Arabidopsis thaliana: one gene and its partner. The protein of the gene in region 1 interacts with the protein of each later gene in a pairwise test. Each region holds a gene or a part of one and is shown in the gene's direction. Other genes may lie near its edges.

The links. The genes of interacting proteins can lie anywhere in the genome.
Region 2: the proteins of MGP1 (region 1) and AT2G19080 interact in a two-hybrid assay, tested with the Arabidopsis thaliana proteins (one study listed by BioGRID).

Annotation. Positions count from the first base shown.
Region 1 is NC_003071.7:9,319,679-9,324,569, reverse strand, and holds MGP1 (MALE GAMETOPHYTE DEFECTIVE 1), read left to right. Parts: upstream 1-1,702; 5' UTR 1,703-1,951; coding exon 1,952-1,990; intron 1,991-2,367; coding exon 2,368-2,461; intron 2,462-2,849; coding exon 2,850-2,994; intron 2,995-3,185; coding exon 3,186-3,296; intron 3,297-3,555; coding exon 3,556-3,702; intron 3,703-3,831; coding exon 3,832-3,954; coding exon of another isoform or gene 3,955-3,958; intron 3,959-4,050; coding exon 4,051-4,114; 3' UTR 4,115-4,380; downstream 4,381-4,891. Other genes in the region: AT2G21860 (violaxanthin de-epoxidase-like protein), read left to right, coding at 4,580-4,873. UniProt on the Arabidopsis thaliana protein: Mitochondrial membrane ATP synthase (F(1)F(0) ATP synthase or Complex V) produces ATP from ADP in the presence of a proton gradient across the membrane which is generated by electron transport complexes of the respiratory chain.
Region 2 is NC_003071.7:8,260,726-8,265,695, forward strand, and holds AT2G19080 (metaxin-like protein), read left to right. Parts: upstream 1-1,974; 5' UTR 1,975-2,092; coding exon 2,093-2,252; intron 2,253-2,806; coding exon 2,807-3,141; intron 3,142-3,243; coding exon 3,244-3,320; intron 3,321-3,408; coding exon 3,409-3,469; coding exon of another isoform or gene 3,470-3,547; exon of another isoform or gene 3,548-3,579; coding exon 3,580-3,724; intron 3,725-3,851; coding exon 3,852-4,021; 3' UTR 4,022-4,413; downstream 4,414-4,970. Other genes in the region: SHT (spermidine hydroxycinnamoyl transferase), read right to left, coding at 270-1,233; AT2G19090 (DUF630 family protein (DUF630 and DUF632)), read right to left, coding at 4,453-4,970. UniProt on the Arabidopsis thaliana protein: Involved in transport of proteins into the mitochondrion.

The DNA of each region.
Region 1 (4,891 bases):
GCATTAAAAAACAAACACATTTTGGTGTAGAGTCTTTCCGCCTCTGCGCAACTACTTCTCCTTAATGCTCCCTTTTATAGGCTCAACCAATTTTGTATTTCTCCTTAGTGCTCTTTTTTATTGACTCTAACCAATAATATTTGTATTGGATGTCATAAAAGAGACTCTTGTTATCTCTTGTGAACATTGTTTTTAAACCAAAAAACAACAACCAACTTTGCTCTTTCGCTTTTAGTTGCAACTCATTTTCAAACGTAAATTTTGTTAAGCGTTATGTGAATTTCCGACTCAAAAATCAATTGACATTCACTGAACATTCTCAGTATGGGATTTCTATCAAGTCTTTTGAAGATGTGGTTTCTCTGATCCATTTAGAGTAAAATCTTACTTTTTTTTTTTTGCAACATGTATATCTTATTTTTATCCACCGATAATCAATTATGTACAAGTTGATTGCATAATTTTTGGTGTAGCAAAAGTAGGTTTAAACGTTGGAAACCGAACTTAACTCATGGTATTGTCTTGATGGGCTTGATTCCTCCTATCAAGTTCTTTATACATGGACAAATTCTTAATGAACTAGCTAGCATGGTCAGTTTTGTACCAAGTCCGGAAGCAATTCCCAATTAGACATATGATGAGCTTGGAAAGATGAGTGAATGTGATTCTTCTAGAGAGAGTACTTGGAGATCATCAGGAGGCATATGTAGTGGGACAAATGTTTATAGAAAAATATTCAATCGGGAAAGTAATACATGATTTGTTAAACTGTAAAAATGGCGAAAGTACATGGACTGCAATGGTGGAACGAAATGGCTAGTAATGTATATTGCATGATCATGGGAATAAGGAGAAGATAAGTGATGGAATTGGGGGGGGGGGGGGGGGGGTTAAAGGTCGACGACCAAAATATGCGCAAGCATGAGTTTGAGGGTTGCTATGTCTGAGTTGTGAGTTATGATGACTGAGATATGTCAAACTATGAGTTTGATAATAAGACTATATGTAATGAGAGTGTTGAATAAATTATTCAACTGTTGAACACATACGATGAGAGTGTTGAAAAAGTAAAAAATCATATGTGGATTAAACACTATTGAATAGATTCAACATATTGAAAACCAAAAAATGGGAGAAAAGATGTATGCTCTCAAAGGATAAACGTTAAAAGAACCACCTTTTCAGTCGCAGAAGGAGAGGCTCTAGTCTTAAAGGAAGCAACCCTCCAACTAAAATGGTTGCAATTTGATCATCAAAACCGGTCCGTGACTAAAGTCCATGAAACAAAAGCTTTAGGTAACAGTAATAATAAGAGCTTTAGATAAATGGTCTAATGGTCTGTCCGAACCTTTTCAGTTTTCAATGATCAGTCACAGTTTTGATTCTAATTATTGTTGAATCTATTACTTATAATTTTTTTTGACTATTTATGTTAATATACCAAATTATTTTTGCTTTAGGTATCCATATAGTTTTGACCGACCTCGATGATCATGTTATATTCTGTGGAGATTTATCAACTATTTATAAATACCTTGAAACCGCTACTAGACATTGGAGTAATCCCTCACCTTGTCTCATTTGGCAAATATTTCCTATAGGTTCAACTTATTAGTAGAAATGACAATGTCTTGGCTGACACTTATCAAGAACTCTCCTTGTAATCACTTAGTTACTTCCATTATGGAAAAGTTGACCGATCGAAAAAAGGTATTAAAAAAAAAAAATAGAAAAATTAAGATTTTCATAGTGTAATTGTAAAAAATAAAATCAAATTATTTTCAGATATTCCGTATTGGGAATAAATCTCAGCCGTTGATTACTATCAACGGTGTACAATTACTGCCTTTGCCTGTTACTTGTTCTGCTCCGTCGCTCAGATAGGATCTCAACAAGACACCACAAACCCTAAATTTCGTCAACTCCACAGCGACTCGATTCGATCAAGGAAATGGCGTACGCTTCTCGTTTTCTCTCCAGATCTAAGCAGGTATATACTCTCTCTCCCTCGATTTTTCTGATTCTCTTCTTCGTTCTGTTTGATTCCTTTTGTTTTCCTCCCATTTCTGGGTTTTATGTGTTTCGATGCGATGGTTAGAGTGAGATTATCGATTTTACTGTATCTCTATCACTGAATCACATCTTAGGGTGTGCCATTTCAATATCGTAGTCGAATTTTTGTTATCTTTCGTACGATCTCAATCGGAGAGTTTGTTGAAATCAAATGATAAATTTGATGGGGTTTTTTTCTACTCGTTGTTGATTTCTAATACAGTTCGAAATGATAAGATGATTTGCAAGAAGTATTCTTTTCATCAAAACTTGTTATTGATCCATAATTTTTATTATCTTACTCTCATTACGCAGCTACAGGGGGGTCTGGTCATTTTGCAGCAGCAACATGCTATTCCAGTCCGAGCTTTTGCTAAGGAAGCTGCTCGTCCAACCTTTAAAGGAGATGGTTAGTGACCAAAACTCATACTTCGGATTTGTTATTATGCATAGAACATTACGTTTTCAATAACACACCTAGTTGAAAACAGTTGCTTTCCTTTCTTTAGCCCTTCGTGCTTTTGAGTTTAACATCGTGACTACTTAAGAATATGTCAAGTCACTTTTTTTATGTCGAATGTGTAGAAAAACTATATTGGTCAATGTAATATAATCTTGTGAAACCCAGGCCATGATTGCTAGGACTGTTGTTCTGCTTACTTCTTTTGTTGAGTTTTATATGTATCCAGTTTATGATGGATTATGTTTAATATGTTGCTGAAATCTGTACTATGTGTTTAGAGTGAAGAAGCATTGCTGTTTACTATTATTGACTCAAGTTTTACACTTTTTGACAGAGATGTTGAAGGGTGTCTTTTTTGATATCAAGAACAAATTCCAGGCTGCTGTTGATATTCTCCGTAAGGAAAAGATCACCCTTGATCCAGAGGACCCAGCTGCCGTAAAACAGTATGCAAATGTAATGAAGACCATCAGGCAAAAGTAGGCCTCTTGTTACTCTTTTGTAGGTGTTTGTTATTTAGCTTGAATGTTGTATGTCGTGATCTCTATTTCTGTTTGTTGGGATTGGTTTTACTTTTCGACTTTTCTGAAACGAGTTAAATATATGTGTCAATGCTGCTATTTTAACCTTGTTAATTTGGTTGCTTGTCATCCGTTTTTTTGGTATGCAGGGCAGACATGTTCTCAGAATCTCAGCGCATTAAACATGACATTGATACTGAGACTCAAGACATTCCAGATGCTCGTGCATACTTGTTGAAGTTGCAGGAAATTCGCACCAGGTAGCTGTTAGACTTTGAATAATTTTCAGTTATCTTAGGATAGTTTTCCCTCACCCGTAAACTTGCTCTTCTTATGTTATTATAATATTGGAATTATCTTCCTGTAAGATCTTGAATGTGATCGTTAAGCAGTTATCTGAAGACTGCATTTAACTATCTATATTTTCATCTCCCTCTTTGATCTGCTATTGTTTGCAACATATGAAGAATTGTTGGAAGCAGTCTTTAGTTATACTCCCACTTGTGATATATCTTGCAGGAGGGGGCTTACTGATGAGCTTGGTGCTGAGGCCATGATGTTCGAGGCTTTGGAGAAAGTCGAGAAGGACATAAAGAAGCCTCTCCTGAGAAGTGACAAGAAAGGAATGGATCTTTTGGTTGCAGAGTTTGAGAAAGGCAACAAAAAGTGCGTCATCATTCTTCAACCATCCATACAAAACACGAACAAATGATTCTCATTACTACTTATATGTATATCGATTTACATATTGATAGCTAATTGAATTGCATGTTTGCGTCTCATTAATCTAAACAGGCTTGGGATTAGGAAAGAAGATCTTCCTAAGTACGAAGAAAATTTGGAGCTCAGCATGGCCAAAGCACAGTTGGATGAGCTGAAGAGTGATGCTGTTGAAGCTATGGAATCTCAGAAAAAGAAGTGAGTTTTGTTTTCTTTTCACTTTTTTTGTTTCTCAATTTATCAATCATTGATCTTACTCATGTCATAACGCGATGGAACTTGCGGATTATTCAGGGAGGAATTCCAGGATGAGGAAATGCCGGACGTGAAGTCTCTAGACATCCGTAACTTCATCTAAGGTTTGATCCTTAGAAACATTTGATTTGTTGTAAGAAAAGGCAAAGATCTCTCACTTGATTGTCTTTGAAAGAGAAGATCGTTCCCTTGCTGCTGTTTTGGTTTGGCGTTCAATAAGGTCTCTCACCTGGATTTGAGTCTAACTCTCTCTGTGGTTATTACGCTTGAGATTCTTAGACACAAACGTTGTTTCATGTTTTTTTGATAATGGTGATCACTGGAATTTGAGATAATTAATAAAAGTTGTGATGTTAATTCGAAACAAAAGCGTGGCAAGCAAAATCAACCCGAGAAACTATTATAGTTTTGTATTTAGTAGACCAAATTCGAACCAAATCTAACCGAAATGGGATCTGGAGTATCATACATTCTAGATGAATTAAACCAATCATATCGAACACGTGGCTTGTCTGTGAACAATTATAATGGGTTTGTCTGAGAGACGTTAACAACTGTTTTCTTCGCCATGGCGGCGATTCCTCTCAAAGCTCCTTCTCTTCCTGGAACGAGAGAGTGTTCTCCCTTCCTTAACCGGTTCGTCACTCATCAACCGGTTAATTTCATCCGGAAGTTTCATCCTTCCTTAGATGAAGCATCGTTCTCCAGACGGGGACGAACCACTGTTGTTCGCGTTTTGGAGACGGAGAAGAGTACGAAAATAGAGAAGCCTGAGCCTCCGGTGAAATTGATTGCTCTCGTCGGAAAAGGAGAAGTAAGCCCACTCAAATCCACCTCTTGGGAAGAAGTTATGCTCCACACTGTAAGTAATTGTCTTCTC
Region 2 (4,970 bases), 1.1 Mb from region 1:
TAATGATAATCCATCAGTTTCATAAAAGAGTCGTTTTGACGGTCTTTTGACACGAATTCTAAGATAAACAAATTACAATATTTTGTAATATTTTTGAATTGAAAAAAATTAATAAATAAATAATATATATAATTGGAATATAAAAGTAATGAACAAAATCATAATTTTTGTTTAGAGGACTAAATTAAATTTTGAAGAAGTGTATTCAAATTCACAAAACAAACAAAATTTCTATGGATAGTAATAGAAAAGAAAGAAAAAACACGTACCTGAGGTGCTTGCTGCGACCACGTCAAGAGTAGCATTGCCGAAGTAGCCGCGTGGCAGAGGTGGCTCCATCCGACTACGAGTATCTATACAGATTCCTAGAGCCGTTGGTTGCTCCGGAGAGTGGCCACGTGCTTTACACGCGCACCTCCACACGTGTCCGGTGACGGTCTCGTACCTTGTAAACCCTTTCGCCGGGTCAGAGTGTTTGCTTCCGTTGGCTTTACTTCGTAGCTTCTGCAGCTGAGATGTGCTCAGTGGTAGCATCACCACAATCGTTTTCTTCTTTCTCTCTTCTACATTGTCCGTTTCTCCGATCAAAAACGGTGGCTGATCAAACTCTTTGTGGTCGAACTTTGGGGGCGACACAAACGGTGGGAGCGGTTCACCAGCCCAGAGGATTTTCCGGTCTAGAAATGGAACGGTTTCTAACGGTTCACCGCGCGCGAGTCTTCCCCATTCCGATATTAAGTGAAGCGCGCTTTGGCCATCTACGATCGCGTGGGAAACGTTGACGCTAAGGCTTATTCCACCGCATTTGAATTTGGTTACCTGAGCTAAAAATAGAGGAATCGTTTCGATAGGGTTTTTATAGTTTACTTGCGGCATAAGATTCTCGAATTCCGGCGTAGGAGAGAAGTCTTTGAAATCCGAAAGCTTCCCCTCAGATTCCGCTTCAATGAATTCCACTCCCTCGGCGTTACAATTGAGCTCGAACCGTCCCCGAGGGAGCCATCTGAGACGGCCAGCCATAGGGTAAAAATGGACTAGCACACGGCTCAACGAGGTTTTTAGGATTTCGACTACATTGCCTTGGAAAGATTCAGATGGCTTGTCGTAAAAGTAAAGGGTGGGAATGTGAGTAATTGTACCAACTTGATCCCACTCGGCTAAGGGAAACCTACCGCTCCACGTTGGTTCGGCCGGTACTATAGTGTAAGATTTTCTAAAAGTTATGGGAGCCATAACACAAACCCCCTTTCTTTTTCTCTTCTCTTTTTGAAGTTCGTGCTAAAGTAATGTTTATATAGTACACAGAATCATATGGATTCAACGAATTTTTCTTGCTGTTAGTCAAAATTCAAAAATGTTTTTCTCGTGGTTTAGTTTGTTTCCTTCGAAGCAGCTTAATTAGTGGAAGTGAGAATAAGGTTTAGTTTTGTTGGTTGTATATGATCACGCGTATTACCCTTCTTCTCTATTTTGTTCACATTGTGGATGAATATATATTTCCACGAAAAAATGAAAAAAAACGAGGTAAGAACATATAACATAAAATTCATATCACTATTAGGGAATGTGTTATACTTTTTTATGCAAGTATATTCCAAAGTATAAATTCTAAACTAAATCCTTAAGTATATATCATAAACTCTAAAAAGAAATGGTAAATCCAAAATACTAACTTCATAGCATTAAATTCAAAAGCCCACATCGCCAGTTTTGATTATATCTTCTGAATTTAAGTTGAGTTTATTTTTATAAAGTCATCTTGAAGAAAAAAAATGTGGATGATGTATTTTACACTGTTACACAGTAATTTTAGTTTTTACAAACTAACAAAAAGGAGAAAACAATTCCACTTTCTCCGAGTCTCCTCCTCCAGTAGTTTTGTCTTAATGGGTAATTTGTGGGCCTTTTAAAGCCCAAAATGAGTTATCGTATTAATAAACCCTAGTTTTAAACCCGACCGACTAAACCTTAACCCAGACCCGGACTCGACTGGATCTTCTCTTCTCGCCCCATCTCTCTCTATCGACGATCGAACTTACTTGAGTACTTCTTCTTCTTTTGACCAGAGCTCTCACACATACGAGTCACTATAATGGAAGGCGATCAAGAGACGAATGTTTATACTTTGGTGGCAAGGAAGCCTTCCTTCGATCTCCCAACAGCTTGCCCTAATTGTCTTCCTGCTTATATATACCTGAAATTAGCCCAGCTACCTTTTGAACTTGCGTTCAATTCAACCTTCCCTGATTCAGGTTTGCTTCTGTTTTGATTCCTCGCTTCGTATTTTGGTTGTTGTTAGATTAAGGTTTTGGTTGCGTGATGTGTATCTGTTGGAAGTGAACATTGTTAATTCTATTAGCTTGAATTGAGATTCGAATCCTAGACAAGATAATTTTGAGTTCTGGATTCGAATTCGTACTATTAAGATCCTGCTCTTAGGTTAATCAGAGTTTAGATAGGGTTTTTAGGCAATAGTAATTCAATTTTGAGGTGTATATATGCATTGGTGAATTTTTCTGGATAGGAAGTGTTCATCATAATTTCTTGTTATAGCTTTGGTTGAATTCCTCGTTATCGTAATTGTTAATTCGAAGAGAATGATGATGTTTCATACTTGTTCAGAAGAAATTAGTTGTTTGATTTAGCTATTGAGTTTGTATATTAACAATATCTTCAGAATTTCTATGTTATGTTTGATAATATCTCTAGACACTTCGTAATCCTTTGTTCACGGATTTACAAATTTGTGCATTCAATATTTATAAGCTTGTGTATTGACAATGTTAATCATTTGTTTTTAATATAGATGAACTGCCGTACTTTGAAAGTGATACATATGTTGCATATAACAATGAAGATGGAGGAGTAATTGAAAAACTGAAGAAAGATGGGATTGTTAATCTGGACTCTCAGCTACAGTCTCTTTCGGATTATTTATCTTTGAAGGCTCTTATTGTGTCTTGGCTAGAAGAAGCGCTTACCTATGAGATATGGGTTGGTACCGAGGGGATATCTACATCGAAAATCTACTATTCAGATCTTCCTTGGGTGATCAGCAAGGTCCTGTTTTATAAGCAGACATACTTGGCAAAGAACCGTTTAGGAATCACCAAAGAGAACGCAGAGCAAAGAGAAAAACAGGTCGGGTTTGTTTAAGTTTTGTTGTTACTTTAGAAGACCTGTGGTTTATATTTGTGAGCATTTGAACTAGTTATTAAAGTTCATAGTCTTAAATGTGAACAGATATACAAGAGAGCAAGTGAGGCATATGAAGCTTTGTCGACTAGGTTAGGTGAGCAGAAGTTTCTCTTTGAAGACAGGTATTGCAATCACATTCCGGAACTGGATTCTTTCCCTTAAGCCTTTTTGTAAAAGATTGACAATGTTTATATTATTCTCTTCCCACAGGCCATCGAGTTTGGATGCTTTCTTACTCTCGCACATACTTTTTATAATCCAAGCGTTACCAGTGAGCAGCTTTAAATTTCACCAATATATTTCTCAGTTATGGGTTTATCAGGTTGAATTTAGCCTTAGAACTATTTAGATGAAGTAGTTTTCTTAATGGTGCATGATCAGGTTACATCAGTGCTTCGGTGCAAACTTCTGGAACATAGTAATCTTGTGCGATATGCTGAGAAACTTAAGTCAGAGTTCCTTGAAGCCTCTTCTTCATCTCCTTCACCTCCACTTCACTCATTCCCTTCCTCATTTCCAAGAAAGAGTAAGACACATCTAACCTTCAACGTCCATATCATATATATTTCATCATATTATATATCTGTCATATATGCAACATTCATTGGATATGTTTAAGCCTGTGAAGGAAGTGAATTTCATCTTTTGTTCAGGTTCGAAGCCAAAGAGCAAACCAAAGGTAGAAAAGACCGAAGAGGAGAAAAAATTTAAGAAAAGAGCAAGGTTCTTTCTAGCTGCTCAGTTTCTAGCTGTCGTCATTTACGTATCAGTGATGGGAGGAGGTAGTTCTGATGAACTGGAGTATGAAGATGAAGATGACTAAACTAAAGCTTTTCTTATTAAATGGACCGGTAACTCTCAGGCGAACTCTCTGAGACTAAGATAAAAACATAACCAGTAATCTCTACGCTTTTTTCTTCTTGAACTCTTAGTTATGGAGAGGATACAGATGTGAGATTTAGTCACATTATAATGGTTTTCGACTTTTCGTTCTGAAGGAGAGCTTTTGGCTTTTATATAAATTTCATTGGTTTTTAAGGCACATCATGGGAACCGATTCACCGGATAAAATACCGAGGAACATTAGAAGACTCTTGGTACACATCCTCAGAATCAACTGAACTAACTCTATTTGTCTTACTAAATAATACAAATCTCATCCATCTAAGAAACTATCTTCTGATAGCAAAAGATGATGCCAAAAACCTACCTAATTCTAAACTCTCTAAAACCAAACAAAATTAATAACAAGTACTAGGAATTGAAATTTACATCCGGGGGCTGCTGCTCCGACGCATCGTCTGCTGGTTGGCTAACAAGCTTCGAGTGTTCATCGGCCGAGTTGATGGAAAACTCAGCTAGTGAACTAACTGCAACAGACATTCCATGGCAGAGAACCTTCACAGCAACCTCTGCAAGTTTCTCAGCAGTCATCACAACATCTTCTTCTCCCTTATCAGCCACTACAAGCTCCATGCTTTCTGACCCGGAGTATCTCCTTGACCCGCTTCCACTCCAGTTTGGATCTTCCCTAACTTGCCTTGCATATATTGAACCCATCCCTGAGGCAAAGAACTCAAGTTTGTCCAAAACTGGTTTTTCATTCAAGCTGTTAAGCAACCTTGACCATTGAATGCAGACTCGGTATATCGGGTGAAGACATGAGGATAATCTAACTTTTTCGGGGTCAGGATCACATCTGAAACATCTTAGAAGCCAACCAGATAATGCTTTCATGTAGGATCTCTGAGAGGTGATCCAGAATTCAAAAC